3 linked regions of the Schizosaccharomyces pombe genome follow. The gene in region 1 interacts genetically with each later gene. Each region holds a gene or a part of one and is shown on either strand. Other genes may lie near its edges.

The links. A genetic interaction does not mean that the proteins touch.
Region 2: mutations in azr1 (region 1) and ftp105 together harm fitness more than expected from each alone (negative genetic interaction), as found in Schizosaccharomyces pombe (one large-scale study listed by BioGRID).
Region 3: mutations in azr1 (region 1) and yip3 together harm fitness more than expected from each alone (negative genetic interaction), as found in Schizosaccharomyces pombe (one large-scale study listed by BioGRID).

The regions. Positions count from the first base shown.
Region 1 is NC_003424.3:3,797,260-3,802,225, reverse strand, and holds azr1 (mitochondrial protein phosphatase Azr1), read right to left. Parts: upstream 3,197-4,966; 5' UTR 2,983-3,196; coding exon 2,546-2,982; exon of another isoform or gene 2,496-2,545; coding exon 2,091-2,495; exon of another isoform or gene 2,043-2,090; coding exon 1,985-2,042; 3' UTR 1,914-1,984; coding exon of another isoform or gene 1,875-1,913; 3' UTR 1,834-1,874; coding exon of another isoform or gene 1,755-1,833; 3' UTR 1,692-1,754; coding exon of another isoform or gene 1,609-1,691; 3' UTR 1,541-1,608; coding exon of another isoform or gene 1,479-1,540; 3' UTR 1,427-1,478; coding exon of another isoform or gene 1,288-1,426; 3' UTR 979-1,287; coding exon of another isoform or gene 835-978; 3' UTR 785-834; coding exon of another isoform or gene 637-784; 3' UTR 593-636; coding exon of another isoform or gene 583-592; 3' UTR 543-582; downstream 1-542. Other genes in the region: CGR1 family ribosome biogenesis protein, read left to right, coding at 509-542, 583-592, 637-784, 835-978; cdd1 (cytidine deaminase Ccd1), read left to right, coding at 1,288-1,426, 1,479-1,540, 1,609-1,691, 1,755-1,833, 1,875-1,913; succinate dehydrogenase Sdh1, read left to right, coding at 3,780-3,878, 4,000-4,966. UniProt on the Schizosaccharomyces pombe protein: Confers azacytidine resistance in high copy.
Region 2 is NC_003424.3:1,784,632-1,790,908, reverse strand, and holds ftp105 (Ubp5 interacting protein Ftp10), read right to left. Parts: upstream 4,540-6,277; 5' UTR 4,472-4,539; coding exon 4,452-4,471; exon of another isoform or gene 4,410-4,451; coding exon 4,367-4,409; exon of another isoform or gene 4,305-4,366; coding exon 4,272-4,304; exon of another isoform or gene 4,204-4,271; coding exon 3,557-4,203; intron 3,459-3,556; coding exon 3,251-3,458; intron 3,195-3,250; coding exon 2,817-3,194; intron 2,718-2,816; coding exon 2,463-2,717; exon of another isoform or gene 2,411-2,462; coding exon 1,217-2,410; 3' UTR 554-1,216; downstream 1-553. Other genes in the region: protein saf5, read right to left, coding at 1-284; gus1 (glutamate-tRNA ligase), read left to right, coding at 5,824-6,277. UniProt on the Schizosaccharomyces pombe protein: Required for the localization of ubp5 to the Golgi apparatus. Involved in detoxification of cadmium ion.
Region 3 is NC_003421.2:407,045-410,856, forward strand, and holds yip3 (Rab GTPase-binding protein), read right to left. Parts: upstream 1,822-3,812; 5' UTR 1,780-1,821; coding exon 1,714-1,779; intron 1,650-1,713; coding exon 1,200-1,649; 3' UTR 554-1,199; downstream 1-553. Other genes in the region: proteasome regulatory subunit Rpt4, read left to right, coding at 1-207; condensin complex non-SMC subunit Cnd2, read right to left, coding at 2,795-3,812.

The DNA.
Region 1 (4,966 bases):
GGTATTTTAACCGTTAATAAACGTATTCGTTCACGCATAATTCGATTAATCGAAATATCAGTAAAATATTAAAAAAAAAACAATGAGAACCCCTCAGAAAGTTTAAGGTGTATTTTTTCCTACTGCCAAACACTTTACCGAGGATATTTATTTCGAGTAGAAAACAGAACAAAAATTAGCATGAAAAATAGTATTAAGTATTTCAGGTATCTTTGATTTGCTGTCTCAAGACAATTTTGTAAAAAAAATCCCCAAAACACTCTCGTTGGCAGGAGTCATTATGTCTAGTTTCGTTTCATTTGTTAAGATAAACTGCTATCTTTTAGAACTTTGGTTTTCAATATTAGGCGATTATCACTTTACAAAAGACAATTTTACAACCGAATTAGTTTACTGACTGAAATAATTTAGACTGTAAAAACGAGACTACGTTAACCAAATTTAATGAGTTTGACCGATGGTTCAATAGAGGTTTAGAAGAAATTTTGTACCAAAAACCAGATACACAATGGTTAATGGAACTAAGGGTGTATGTGTTTCAGGTATGGAATTGAGCAAGTTTATTAAGTACTAATTCTTTAGGAAAACCATGGTATGCTTTTTATCAGTATGAGAAAGCTTTTATTAAACAATTAGGAAAACTGAGAAAAAGGCGTACAACAGAAGTGGCCTTGCTGATGCTCAAAGAACTCCGTATGAAAAGCGTATGGAACAAAAGCGGAAGTTAGATGAGATTAAAGAGCGTGAAAAGGAATTGAAAAGAGAGAAAGAAGAACAGCGTGCTGTAAGTATTCTTTATCAGTAGTATCATATCCATTACTAATTATTCATAAGGCTCATGCCGAAAAAATCCGTACCCGTCGTCAAGCAAAAGCAGACCGTGAACGAATGGAATTGTTGCAAGCTAAACTTCACCAAAAGGTGATAGATCGTCGGCGACGCAGAGAGAAGCGTAACAAAATGTTGAAAGAGCGATGAATGGAATTCGGTTACATAATTGGAAAAATAATATTCTTTTGAAGTGGTATAACATTGATCACTTTTACAGTTTCAATCTTCAACTCGTAATAACATCATTGTATTAGAAAAATAATGATAGTAGTTAACGGAATAGTGGATACGCTTTGGTATTCGTTGCCCCGAGGATATACCGGGAGCTCAGCTCACAACATTTCTTCCAACATTGCTAGATAATATCGTTTTAGTAGGTTGTATATATATTCTGCAATTTTTTTGTGCATCGGAGTTATTTTTTTTTCACAAAATAAATCTAGTCGCACTCAAAAAATGGAAAAAGAAGATATTGAGAAGTTATTTCAAGAAGTAAAAAAGAGTTTACAATATTCATATTGTCCCTACTCCAACTTCGCAGTAGGTGCATGCGTAGTATCCGACGATAAAAATACATATATTTATGGAGCTAATGGTAAAAAGATTGTACCGAATTCAAAAAATATGAAATCTAACGTATCAAACAGTTGAAAACGCATCATATGGCAATTGCATCTGTGCCGAACGAGTAGCAATTACAAAAGCAGTGGTAAGATTAAGTTGCGCGTGAAGAGTTGCTACCGCTTTGACCATTATAACTCACATCAACCTTAAAAGAGCATGGGTTACACTAAATTTATGGCTATTGGAGTGATGAGTGCCAAGGGAAGAGTTACGCCCTGTGGTATTTGTCGTCAAGTGTAAGTTGACAGTTAAGGAAAAAGAAATCCTTCCGTTGAATTTACTAACAAAACGTTGTTAAGAATTCGTGAATTTTCGAAGGATATAAATGTTTATATGTTTCATGACGACGGGGGTTATGATATGAAAACGATAGAAGAGGTATGCAAGCGTTACTTGAATGTCATTAACATGATTGGCAGTTACTTCCTGACTCTTTTGGTCCAGATGATTTGAAATGAACGATTCAAGGACCCTTAATGAACTAAAGTAATTCAATATAAGCGTATTTCGTTCGAAGAAGATACTAATTTTACTCATAATTTTTGGACTTTATCAGTAAACATGTAATGGTAGTATCATCCACTTTCCTAATGTGCTTGTTAATATATTTTCACATATAAATTATTTTATCGTACCCTCCTTGAAACTTGAAACCAAAACTCTTTGCCGTTTTTGCGAATGGAGATTCCCATTTCGTATCCAACGAATTCAAAACTGCTTGCCTACAAATGCGCATAGCCAAATCATCAAGGCATTTCTGAACATTCGAAAGAGAGCTAAAATCAACGACGCCAGCGATGTCTAAGATCGACTTTTCCTCTATATTATCAAATATGCCATCGGTAGCTAAAATTACCAAGTCATTGTCTTTAAGGTCGTGCACAGTTGCTTGTCCCATTTTAGGCCCAATGTTTTCAGCGGAACGATAGTTCCTAGGATATATAGCCAATTGATATGGCATATTAAATTGGAGTACTTGGGCAGGTGATGCATAATGGATAGCACCATTTCTAAGGATAAGAAATCCTGAGTCACCAAGGCTTGAAATAAAGTTAGTAAGAATTTATGAACCAATGAACAAATAACGTACTTTAATGAATGAAGTTTACCGTTTCCGCAATTGAACAATGTAAGGCAAGCAGTGCTTGAGCCAGCCTCAACAGTGTTACTTTTCTTCAAAGCTGCATATGCTTTGGAAAGTAAAGTGAGAGGACTTGGTTGGAATTCGTCAGAATTGTTAAAGACTTTTTTTATTTCCCGAACCAATCCCCAACTAAATATTGACGGATCAATCCCCACATTCGCCCAGCCTCCAACTCCGTCAAATACTGCATTTAAGATATAGTTTTCATTCCTTAAATTTATAAAAGCGTCTTCTCCGGCATCCGGGTGATCGAGCGTAGCAGGAGATGGGAAATGAGATTTCTTTTTTTGAAAGCTCGTAGAGGAATATGCAGCATATTTGTGCACATATCGGGCGAACTGTTTTGTTCCAGCGACACGAAAGTAAAGACGAGTAACATTCATTGAGGGATCATAGAAATTGTTTTAATCACCCTGTCTAAGAAGTTATAACAATTGCTTTCTGTTCAACACTTTATAAAGTGTGTATGAACACGACTTACAAAAACAGATATCAGACTCAAAGTAAGAGAATTGTATGATATGTTAGTTTTGTATACCCATCTAATTATATAAATAAACGGTGGGGATATGATTGATGAGTTTGTAGTAAGTGCCTGTACTATTATTGAACTTCCAAGAGTCCTTATATATTTACCAAACTATCATGTAATGCGGTATAATAGTGAGCGAGGAGCATCTTGATAAATCATAACTTAGGAGCAGTTTAATTAATATTTCACGATATAAATGTTTGAGATTAACAAAAAAAAATACTGACTGTTGCTTCAATGCACTTGCACAATTGTTTACTAACACTCTGGAAGAACTAAGCGTCTTGTCCTCGAGATTTAGCTAGCTAATTTTTATCGGAAAAGTTTGGAGGCACAAAGCAATAGTAAAAATATATTTTATACGTAGTTCTTGGGTTTTCACCGAGTAGTACTAAAACTGCTTTTCTTAACGAGCTGAATGATGATGGTATTGAAGCAGTTTGTGTCATTAAACCGAGATGTGGGTTAAGCCAATAATGTAAGTTAAAGTTAAAGACACGGAAATAGAAGAGTATTGATTAGATTTCGCTTATGGAGTTGACGAATAAGAAGGGCGGTATTTCAAACTTCCGCACTTAACGATGCTGTACTTCCTTAAGAGATGCCCAATTACCAAAGCTTCTCCTTCCACCACATCCAACACATATAATGCTCAGATTTCGAAAAGTCGCTCCAAGTCTAAAAAATGGAGGGAATCTGAAGCTATTTTCTACTTCTTCAACTTTAAAAAAAATAGCTTCAAGCCAGGTATGTTTTTTTTTAGTGACTCGTCTTATTTTTGGAAGCGGTGCAAATTTTATGATTTTTAAGCAACCCTTCTTTGTTTCTCTACTCTATGAACAGTTTTCTAAACAATCTAACAATGTAGCCTTTAAGAGCAAAGCAAGTTTCAACATCAGAATCCGTTAAATATCCAGTCATTGACCATACATACGATGCTATCGTTGTAGGTGCCGGAGGTGCCGGTCTTCGTGCTACTTTTGGTTTGGCAGAAGCCGGCTTTAATACTGCATGTATTACTAAGCTCTTTCCTACGAGGTCCCATACTGTCGCTGCCCAAGGTGGTATCAACGCTGCACTCGGTAATATGACAAAAGATGACTGGCGCTGGCATTTCTATGACACTGTCAAAGGATCAGATTGGTTGGGTGATCAAGATGCTATTCATTACATGACTAAAGAAGCACCCAAAGCAGTTTTGGAGTTGGAACATTTTGGTGTACCTTTTTCAAGAACGAAGGAGGGAAAGATTTATCAACGTGCTTTTGGCGGTCAATCCCTTGAATATGGTAAAGGTGGACAGGCATATCGCTGTGCTGCTGTTGCCGATCGTACTGGACATTCTATCTTGCACACTCTTTACGGGCAATCTCTTAAACATAACACAAACTTTTTTATTGAGTATTTTGCAATGGATTTAATCATGGAAGGTGGTGAATGTCGTGGTGTCATTGCTATGAATTTGGAAGACGGTAGTATTCACAGATTCCGTGCTCACAAGACTATTTTGGCTACTGGTGGTTATGGACGTGCCTATTTCTCTTGCACCTCAGCTCATACCTGTACTGGTGATGGTAATGCCATGGTTTCTCGTGCTGGACTTCCTCTACAAGATCTCGAGTTTGTTCAATTTCACCCTACTGGTATCTATGGTGCTGGTTGTTTAATTACTGAAGGTTGCCGTGGTGAAGGTGGTTATCTTTTGAACAGCAAGGGTGAGCGTTTTATGGAACGCTATGCTCCTACCGCTAAGGATTTGGCTTCTCGTGATGTCGTTTCTCGTGCTATGACTGTTGAAATTCGTGAAGGCCGTGGTGTTGGCCCTGAAAAGGATC
Region 2 (6,277 bases), 2.0 Mb from region 1:
ACATATACATATGGCTTATCCTTGCTTTGTTTCGCATGAAGAGTAATGGTTTCATATGGAATTTTCCAGCCAGAATTCTGTTCTTCATCAAAAAGGATAAAGCTCTGTGAAGTTACTAATAAAGTTATCAATTTGCCCAAAGGAAAACTTTCCTCATCACTTCTAATTTTATAGGGGACTGTTTTTTCTTCAAAATAAACGATTTCTTGATTTGGCAACAACTTTTCACCATTTTCAACTTTGCGAATTAGGTCCTTTGGAAGTGAGTCAATTTTGGTAATCATAATTACTTCTTGCTTCCAATAGGTATTTAAGCATAAAAATTATTAAAAAACAGTAATAAGGCCACCTCTACCTGATAATTTATTGAAAGAAAAGGTTTACTGTGCGTTGTATTCTTTTGAAGTACTCAAATACAATATCTTCGCATATTAAGCATTTCGCAAAATCGAAAATATATTTCTACTCTTAACCACACGAATTTTTTATAAATTGAACCATTATGCCAAACAGGATATCGATTTTACTCAAATACTTTTGATATGCAATTTTCGTAAATGACAAGCTAGTTATTCATTGCAATTACAAAACAAACTCATGAATATAAATAGTTTTGTGGAAAAAATAAAGGAAAGGTCTAAGGTCTTTATGAAGTAATCCTCGTTACCCAAAAAATTGGGACTCAAAACTTTTGAAATTGGATTTTTTATTTTATATAGTAAACAGATTTATAAGTGTAGCGAAATAAAGCTAAGAATTTTTTAGCAACCAATTCATTGCTATATAAGGTTATACATTGATTTGGATACATGTAATGAATTAGCATCAGTGGATCGTTTCTCTCATAAAGGTGGGTCTTTCTAAAGTATACGAGATTGACTTTCAAACACCAACTTTCCAAATCAAACTTCGAAAGACTTTTTTAAAGCTAGTGACAAGGTTGGAGCAGAAGATTCTCCAAGCCAGTTTTTAGTTAATTAATAGAATGAAAACAAATCGAAAAGTTCAAAAATCAAAATTAGCAAGGCAAGATTCTGGTCATCAGTATATAATTAAATGATGGCAGTATGTGGATGCAAATCCTCCAAGATAATTTTTTAGTGAACAATTTAATCAATAAATTTTCAAAGTAAGATACCATAACATGCATGCAGGGTTTTCTTCAAATATTTTTTAGGACAAAAGTATACTTTAATTTACGCATTGAATTTAAGAATCACTTGTTGCGTAAACTGGAATCGTGGTTGACACTACTTGGCAGCTGTAAATACAGCAAATCGAGTTTGTCAAGTATAGATTTTGTGGCATTCTCCATTGAGTTAGAACTGTTTTCAGGAGATGCAACTTTCATGATATTTCCATGTTGTTTGTACACTTTAGAGGTTGTAAATAAAGAGGGAGTAGCCATTAAACCTTTTTCATCAAATGACAAAGTATAAAGCCAAACAAGACTTTGAAACCAATTATTCATAGGGACACTCCAAATAAAGTAGCGAAAATTGGGAACTCGAGGATGTACATCATTTAGCACAGAGTTAGCTAATAGTTTAACAGCTTCGTCAGTAGTTGATAATTCTTCATTCATTTTCTTGTATACAGGTAGAGAAAACTGAGATATAATGGCTAGAATAGAATCCAATTCAAGTCTTGAATGCCAAGAATTAAACCACGAGTTGGAAGGTGCAAACAAATTTGAGTCAATTTCTAAATCTTTTCCAAACGGATTGGATGCACATTTTTTAATAAGTTCTGAACTAGAAACATTTTCCGGTATTTTCCCACGCAACTTTCTAGACAGAACCAATGGAGAATCTGAGAATACATCTTGAAGGACTGTCGGGACAGAAATCGAAACATTTCTACTCGAAATATGTGATAAGCCACCGCGTGAACTACTGCTACTAAAAGGGGAGGAAAATTTATCTAATTCATCGAAAGGTGAATCATCTTCAACGGTAGCAACTTTTTTAAAGTCAGTATTTTGGAGTGGTGTTCCATCTAAGGAGGTGTTATCGGATGATTTAGATTCAAAATCACTACTTCCTTCCGAATTGAGGGCCACTAAAGGCTGTGATTTAGTCTGAGCAACGGCAGGAAGTTTCATAGAATTAAGATTCAAAAAAACTTGCTGGAGGCGAATAATAGAATAACTGAGATTAGGGTTTTGAGAAAACTTGTTTTCAACTATACTAGAAATAGCCTGTAACAGGTATTCAAGAAGCAGATGATTGCGCGGATTACGAAAAAGAAACCGAGGAGATGAAAGAGATGAACAGAGTTGCATTAATTTGGCACACGTAACGAAACTTAGGTTTTCAACAAATGGTGCAATATTGCATATGGTCAACAATATAACAGGAGATAAACTGCTAAACGGAGATCTCTTCACTGCTGAAATATGAAAGCTAGACTGGAAGGCGTAAGTAATAAAATTAAAATAAACAATTAATCGTGAATCTTACGATAATCAAAAACTCTGCATAAGACATTGGTGGGACTGAGAACCCAAGGGAAGACATCAATGATTGTGCATTCATACAGTTTCTATTTAGTTTTTCACAAAGAACCTTCTCGCATGATAAATAATGAACGATAAAAAGGCAAATGCGAACAAGGCCGGAATGTTCATTGTCTTCACGATATCTAAGTGCATAAAACTGAATAGAAGTTAAAAACTCCGTAGCATAAGGAGAAGTGATCAAAAATGCTCGGAAACGCTGTTTTAAATTAGTTAGCAAATATAATGAACGCGTAACAACATAAATTAAACAACTGTACAAATAATGTAATATATATAAAAGGACCGTTGAACATACTTTATTATATAAAATTGCTTGCCAAAGAAACAAAATAATTTCCGGAAACGCGATATTAGGCTTTTGTACAATTGAAATATAGGCAGAGATAGCGGAAACTGGTGCATTCAATAGCCGATATAGTTCGTTAACTAAAAATTCATAATCAGCTTGTAATTGAAGTCGAGAAAAATATAATCTATACTGATTTTCGATAGCAGCGCCAGGAGAAAGATTGAGTCTCTGTCTGAAGTATTCGACTGTTGTTTCATGAGGGGTGTGATCTAAAAAAAGCAAAAGGATTTGAGAAGTAAGTTTTGAGAGTGCAATGCTAGAATCATTATAAGGTACTAGAGTTGAATACGAAGCCTTCCAGCTATCAGGTCTAAGTCGCAAAGTCTAAAAACTAAGTTAGTTGTACAACAAAAAAAGGTAAATTTTAAGCCAAAACTTACAGTATTTATAAGGGAATAAAGAAAAACTAGTATAAGCTGCTTATTTGCTACACAGGTCAAATAAGTAAGGGTGTGAGAAGCTACTTCAGAAGATCGATACAGCCTTTTAGAAATCAATACTAACAGCAAACGAAGAACCTCAATGCGATTAAACGCAAGTTCCTTTGTGGTTTTCTCTTGGGTTTCTGTTGTACCAATTCCATTTTCCCTGCAAAAGTGATTAGTTAACACATTGCATTTAACCAAATATAAAAAAGCAAACGAAAAACAAAAAAAAAATATATATATATATACATATATACTTACCATATAATGTATGCATATTGCTCAGGACTTGAAAGAGGAAGCGTAAAGCCTCTGCAAAAAAGCAAACGAAAGACGGTGTCCAGCAATTCCTCCATTAAAGTTTTTTCATGAGTAAAAGTTTCTTCAATAGAGCCAATTTCTTTGATTGTGCTAGAACCACCTACTGATACGTCAGCGGCAGAGACGTCTGAAGAAGCATCAAGGGAGATGGAAGAAGCAGGAAAGGTGCTCACAGGAGATAATGGGACTGAAGGAGACTTCTGCGAGAATTCGTTCTTTTGGGAGATGGAATTTTCAAAATCTAGATCGTCTTGAAAATTACTAAGGTCTAATTCGGAATTTTCCTTTGGTAAATTTCTCTTCTTTCTAAGGCTCCACCAAAACTTTTGATGCCATTCTTCTAAATCGAGTTTCTCATTCAAAAAAGGAATGATTCTAGTAAGTAGGCGAATGCAGTTTAACGCTTCACTCGCTGGTGCCGTTTCAGGATTTGGAAACTTTTTGTCATTTTTCAACGCAAACAAACGAGATGTCAATACAAGCAGCAATTTTTCAAGGTTTACAAAGGCATGATCCCTCATCTCACGAATGAGACCTGGGGGAAAAAAATCGTAAACTTCTGGACAACTTTCAGGTACACTCCAAAGCTAATAAACATAAAAACGAATACATTAGTAAAAGCGTCTTACACAAGTTAATAAAAAAAATTTCATACAGAAACCCAAACTTCATCATCCAACGGTATATCCTACTAGAATTAGCTTGCAATGTTCTCTTAGCGTATCATCCACCCATAAACACAAACCGTACCGGTTGAGAAGCTAATCTTGCAATTCCTCGCTGAAATGCCAATCTAAACAGTTAGCTCATACGAAAATTTCGCAATGTTACTTACTTTGACTCTTGGCCTCCCATATTCTCTAATTAGATGCGAAAACCGTAAAGTGCTCTTGACAAACGCTGCAGCTTCATCGATAATCGTTAGGTACTAGTAGACCCGTCCATGTGTATACTTTATTCGCGCGCTAAGTTTCCAAAAGATGCATTATTTCATATTGCGAAATTTTATTATTGCTCGAGTTAATTTGTTAGCTCTACCGTACATTTAATGATCGTTAGCATTACGACGAATTTTCACATTTACAGTCAATGCACTATGACTCACTATTTGGTAAACACTTTTTAGCAAACTGCAATTTGTTAGGAGGCAGGGTAAGGAAAACAATTGATTACCATCACGAAATGAGAATTAAGGAAGAAATACAGCTTGTCAAAGAGACTTCAGCTACCTGCTGAACTGCATTTAAATGTTTGTGAGTTTTTGGTTTCTACTCGTTATCTCATAATTACCGTGCCATCAGATAAACCTCAAAGGTTTCTCAGTTATAAAAAAAACAAGGAAACTGTATAGCTGTAAACAATTCATCTACTGTATAACTCACGCGGCAAAACCACATGAGACATCTGTCGAAGCAAACAATGATATATTTACATGTTCAGTAGATGAATCGCTAGACTATGCCGTGATATGTTAGAGTTCCTTATATTATATACAATGAAGTACATTATAAATGGCTGTATTCAAATTTTAGCTATTTCTGTAAAATAAACAAAGCAGCTATCTATTTTGAAGTGAGATTTTTTTCCAATTTATAATAATTTCAATTATAAAAGGTGCTCTTTTTCTACTCTCAATGTACTTGAAATGTCATATATGTATTTGATATCGTCAAAATTGTCAATAGCAAGATAACTAAATAAATGAGATGATAAAGATCTTATTAATTAACTTGGTAGATGATTTTTCCTACTTTTTCCTTTAATCCTATAGCTGATTAACAGGTAATTATTAACAAAAAAATGACTTTTCTTCCATTCTTCTGATTGTTTCAACTCCACTCTGTTATTATGTATCTATTCTCTTTTCTTATCGGTATACCGATTTACGTTAGAAAATGGTAAACAGTATAACGAGAAACCCTCGGTTTCGGTTCATATCTGTATAAAATTAGCAGATTAGCGAAAAATGCTGGAAAGAAAATTAATCAAGGTCAGACATGAACTTGAATTCCTTATCTATAATCTAATTTGTACTTAAATAGAATCCTTTTTTTTCGGTCAACTTCGTACTGCGTTCGAATTTTTCTGGTTTGGATTTTTAGTGTTTTGCAAACATACCTTTACCATACACTAATACCCTAAAAATCACTTCGACACCAACTTACCACGAACCAAGTTCGACAATTTTCACCACCGGTTTTGGGAAAATGTCAGTTAGTGTTGCATTAAAAGCAAAGCCCATTGCTTATGGTGCAGTTGCATGTGCAAATTATGTGAATCTGTCTGGTGCAGGAAGCATTTCCGTCAAGTATGAGGACGTTGCTTTATTAGACAAACAAAACAAGGAATCGAACGTCTCCATTCAGCTTAACGGCTCTGATTCTCCTGTATTCGGTTCCAAGTTGGCTTTACAGACTTTCTCTCAAGTCTATCCTAAACTTTTCATTGGCGAAAACGATCGTTCTTTGGTTGAGAGTTGGGTGGAAACTGCCTCTGCCTTAGCTGGTAACCACAACTTTCTTGAGCTTTCTTCACTTCTTGCTCAGTTAGACGACCATTTAATTATGCGCTCTCTTTTTGTGGGTTATTCCCTCACCTCTGCTGATTTTTCTATTTGGGGTGCCTTAAAATCAAACAACATGGCAGCTGGTGCCGTACGCA
Region 3 (3,812 bases), on another chromosome or scaffold:
AAACAAGGCGAAATTGACTATGAAGCATTGGTTAAACTGACAGATGGAACAAATGGTGCTGACTTGCGGAATGTGGTTACAGAAGCAGGATTCATAGCCATTAAAGAAGATCGCGACTATGTCATTCAGTCCGATTTAATGTCCGCAGCTCGTAAGGTTGCTGACCTGAAGAAACTTGAAGGTACAATTGATTACCAAAAGCTTTAGTGCACATATATCCAAAAAGCCATGAAATGATAAGTTTACCGATGAAGATTATACGCGCAACTGCATAGTTATGATTAAAAAGGTCGAATAGTAAGTGAAACGTTTACTTTTAATATATTCCGACTCTTTTGGCTTTTATCATGTATATATGAATATGCTTGATGGGAATCTATGTATATTATCGTAAGGCATATCTGTGATAGTACAAACTGATTTTCTTCAATATTTGATTATGTTTTCCATATCCTCCAAATACCAAACATTGTTTTTCCACTCTACATAATTTACTGGCGACAAAAGAAAAAATGATCAAGTAAAAATAAACAATTAATTATACACATGAATTAAAAGTAAAGCAAATGTTTGACTAGAAATTATTAACTAACCAAATGCACTGAAGTGTAAAGAACGAACTAAATATATTGAACGAAACCCGGTTCAAAAATGCAAAAATTCTTCTCTTCCCAGGAAGGATAGTTTGAAGTTATCCTTAAAAGGTAGTAGACCTTTGACAAAGAAACGAGGAAAAACGTCTAGTACGCTAAGATAAAAGAATAAGAGAGGTGAAAATCATAGCTGGCTTCATATAAGCAGCCAAACTAGTTATTATAGTACTAGATGAAGCTGAATGCGCAGTTTAGAAGTCATTTTATCCCATAATTTCAAGAAAGTAAAGGCAAGATAAAGATAGCCAGATAGAGTCATTGAAAAAGACGACGAAAAGGCGTAAAACAAAGAGCGCAGAAATGAATAATCTAAAAAATTACAAATGAAGTATTAACGTATTAAAAGGAAAAAAGTATGAAACGCAAATAACTGATAATAAAATGATTAGCAAGCTAGTTTCTTTAAAATCGGCGTACAGTTTCCCTCTTTTTGTTTGTCAAAGAAGAGTAAGCGTAGGAAATGCCAGTATTCCCTTTGTAAAGACATGTACGAAAATTAAAGCAACTGTACCAAGATAACCAAAGAGGCTGTTAGAAACAATTTTTTTAGACTTGTTGCTCGACAGTCTCAAATGCCGATTCAACAGGAGGCTCAAAGAAAGCAGCGTGTCCGAATACACAGACACAGGAAGCACCAACTAACCAAATGATAGTTTCGATGGGAGATGCGAACAGCCCAAGAGGAATCAACACGCATGCTAGAATGACATAAAGATTTTGGTTGGAAATTACACGATGGCTAAGTTGTAAATCAGCTCCTTGAAGCTTACGAATACCATAAACACCACCAACACCAATTCCAATGACAATTAAAAGTAAAGGGTTACGGATAAGTGCGTAAATAACGAGCATAGCAATGATTGCAAGATAGTTAGAAGAAAACCTCGAAAAGTTGAAGCTAATTCTCGACTGAGCTTCACTGAAATTCCTAGGTCTAGAAATTCTACGAACATCCAAGAACTCGCCCACCGATTTAAAACCACTTAGATACTGAGCCTACCATTTTGCGTTAGTGAATTGATCTTTTCAAGTTTACTACTCATAGTTCATTAATTCATACCCTTGAAGCGTAAATTTCTGAGAAAGTCTCCGAAACTTTAGTAATACTCAACGACAGTGCTGACATTATGAAAAACCGTAGTAGGTGTCTTAGATATAGGGAAAGGATAAATTCTACTTTTCCTGGATGTTGACAAAGTATTCTAAGCCATTGATTGTTACCCACTGTAAAGTACATTGAGAAAGCAACGCTAAATAGATATTGTGCAACAGAAAAAATTGTAATAATTGTATTGCATAACTCATTTTATTTAAATTATGAATCACTATCGTATATAGCGTAATTTTGCTTTAAACGCTATTTCAAATCTATGGTAAAACTAGATGAACTAACGTTGCTGCGAAAGTTCATAGATTGCTTATAAACCTATTTCTTTAACTAAAAGGATGTATTTTAACTTTATTTTACTGAGCCAAAGTCCATTCGTTGACGGTGTTGAAATTATTCTACAGCTTGGTCATTGACAAATTTCATTTTCTCTGATAATTCATTTAATAATTTGTATCAAAAAAAAATAGATTCTTGAGAAAGATTAACATAAAAGATAAAATTACCCTACATTTCTGTACTCAAATCGATATGTTCTAACTTTGAAAGGGTTTCACAATATATGAATAACCGTATATTGGTACAATTTAATCCTATTATAGGTAAAAAACCTCACATAGAGACAATAAATAATTATTATTTTTTGTTATATTGTCGAGAATAGAAGCATGTAATGAATGCAATATCTCGTTATTTCCAAAGAGTCAACTGCTAAGTGAGTTCCAACAGAATTAACAGGCAGAAGCAAGATACTGATGTCTTCAACGATCACAAGATAAAAGGAAGGTGTATTTTTTACAAAAAATTTCGCTGTCAGCTTGCTCCACAAAATGCAATTTGCACTCTTCATTTTTCACAACTCTTCAATGTCAAAAAGTAGTAACAGCCTAAAAATACGAGCTAGTGTTTTTATTATTCAAGGTAGATCAAAAAGAGTATAATTTCCGGCTATCTTGAAAATGATTCACGCTAGCTAAAAGTATGCGATGATGACTAATTAATGATGACCTGCATCATTTCGATTCTACACACTTTAAACATCATTTTCTAATGCTTCTAGCGTCGTCAAGTTAGGACCTGGCCTAATAAAAACATCTGAAAAATCTTCGTTGCTTGTAAGCTCTAAATTATGTTCATTCGCCAAATGTAAAACACAAATAAAGGCAAAACTGGTGGATATATCTTTGAGTTCTTTTTTCTCGTATGTCTCCTCTAATTGATTGACAGTGGAAAAAAAAGATTTGACTGGCATGTTGGTTTCTTCTGACTCCATCTCCGAACCCTCAATATGAGAGTTGATGGAATTTTCTTTAATTGTGTTTTCAAGATCTAGACATTTCCATAGCTTTTCTTTCAGTACTCGCACATCAACCTTTTTAGCACGCTTCGCATAATTCAGCATATCTGGTTTTGCCAAACGAGCAGTTAACAAAAGGTTATCACCAAATCCTGATGATGATGGAGGTGTAAGCAGAGGTGTTTGCTTAGGGCTATCGGAATCTCCAAATCCATACGGGGGTATTCCTTCATCAACATTATCACTGCCATCAGAATCGAATCCATGGGGTTGAATACCGTCCAAATCATTCTCATCATCTAAGGCTTTATTCAGTTGTAGCTGTCCTTCTCCATCAGCGTTGGGTAGAACTGACATCTTTGGTTTCAAGAAAAGCTGTAAAAGCCTCTTAGAATCATATTGGTAGTCATCAGGTAGTAAACATCGATTATGTCTTTTCCAATGAGACTTGGGAAGCTTGAGACTGCTGGTTGCAGGAGTGAACAGTGCTTCGACGTCTACTTCCTGCAAGAAATCAATGGCGTTATCAAGTTCTCGACGCTTTTTCCGTTCCGTGGAAGAAAGAGAACGCGATACATTATCTGAACTTTCAGCCGTATTGGAAGAGTTGAATACAGTTGATGCGTTATTGATATTTTTTCTCAATGCCTGAATGCGCCAATGTTCGGGTCCAGCCCAGTTCTTTTTCATTGACTTGTCAAAATATTCGTATACTCCATTCGCAGCGGCAGTAGAAATAATAGAATAATTTTCA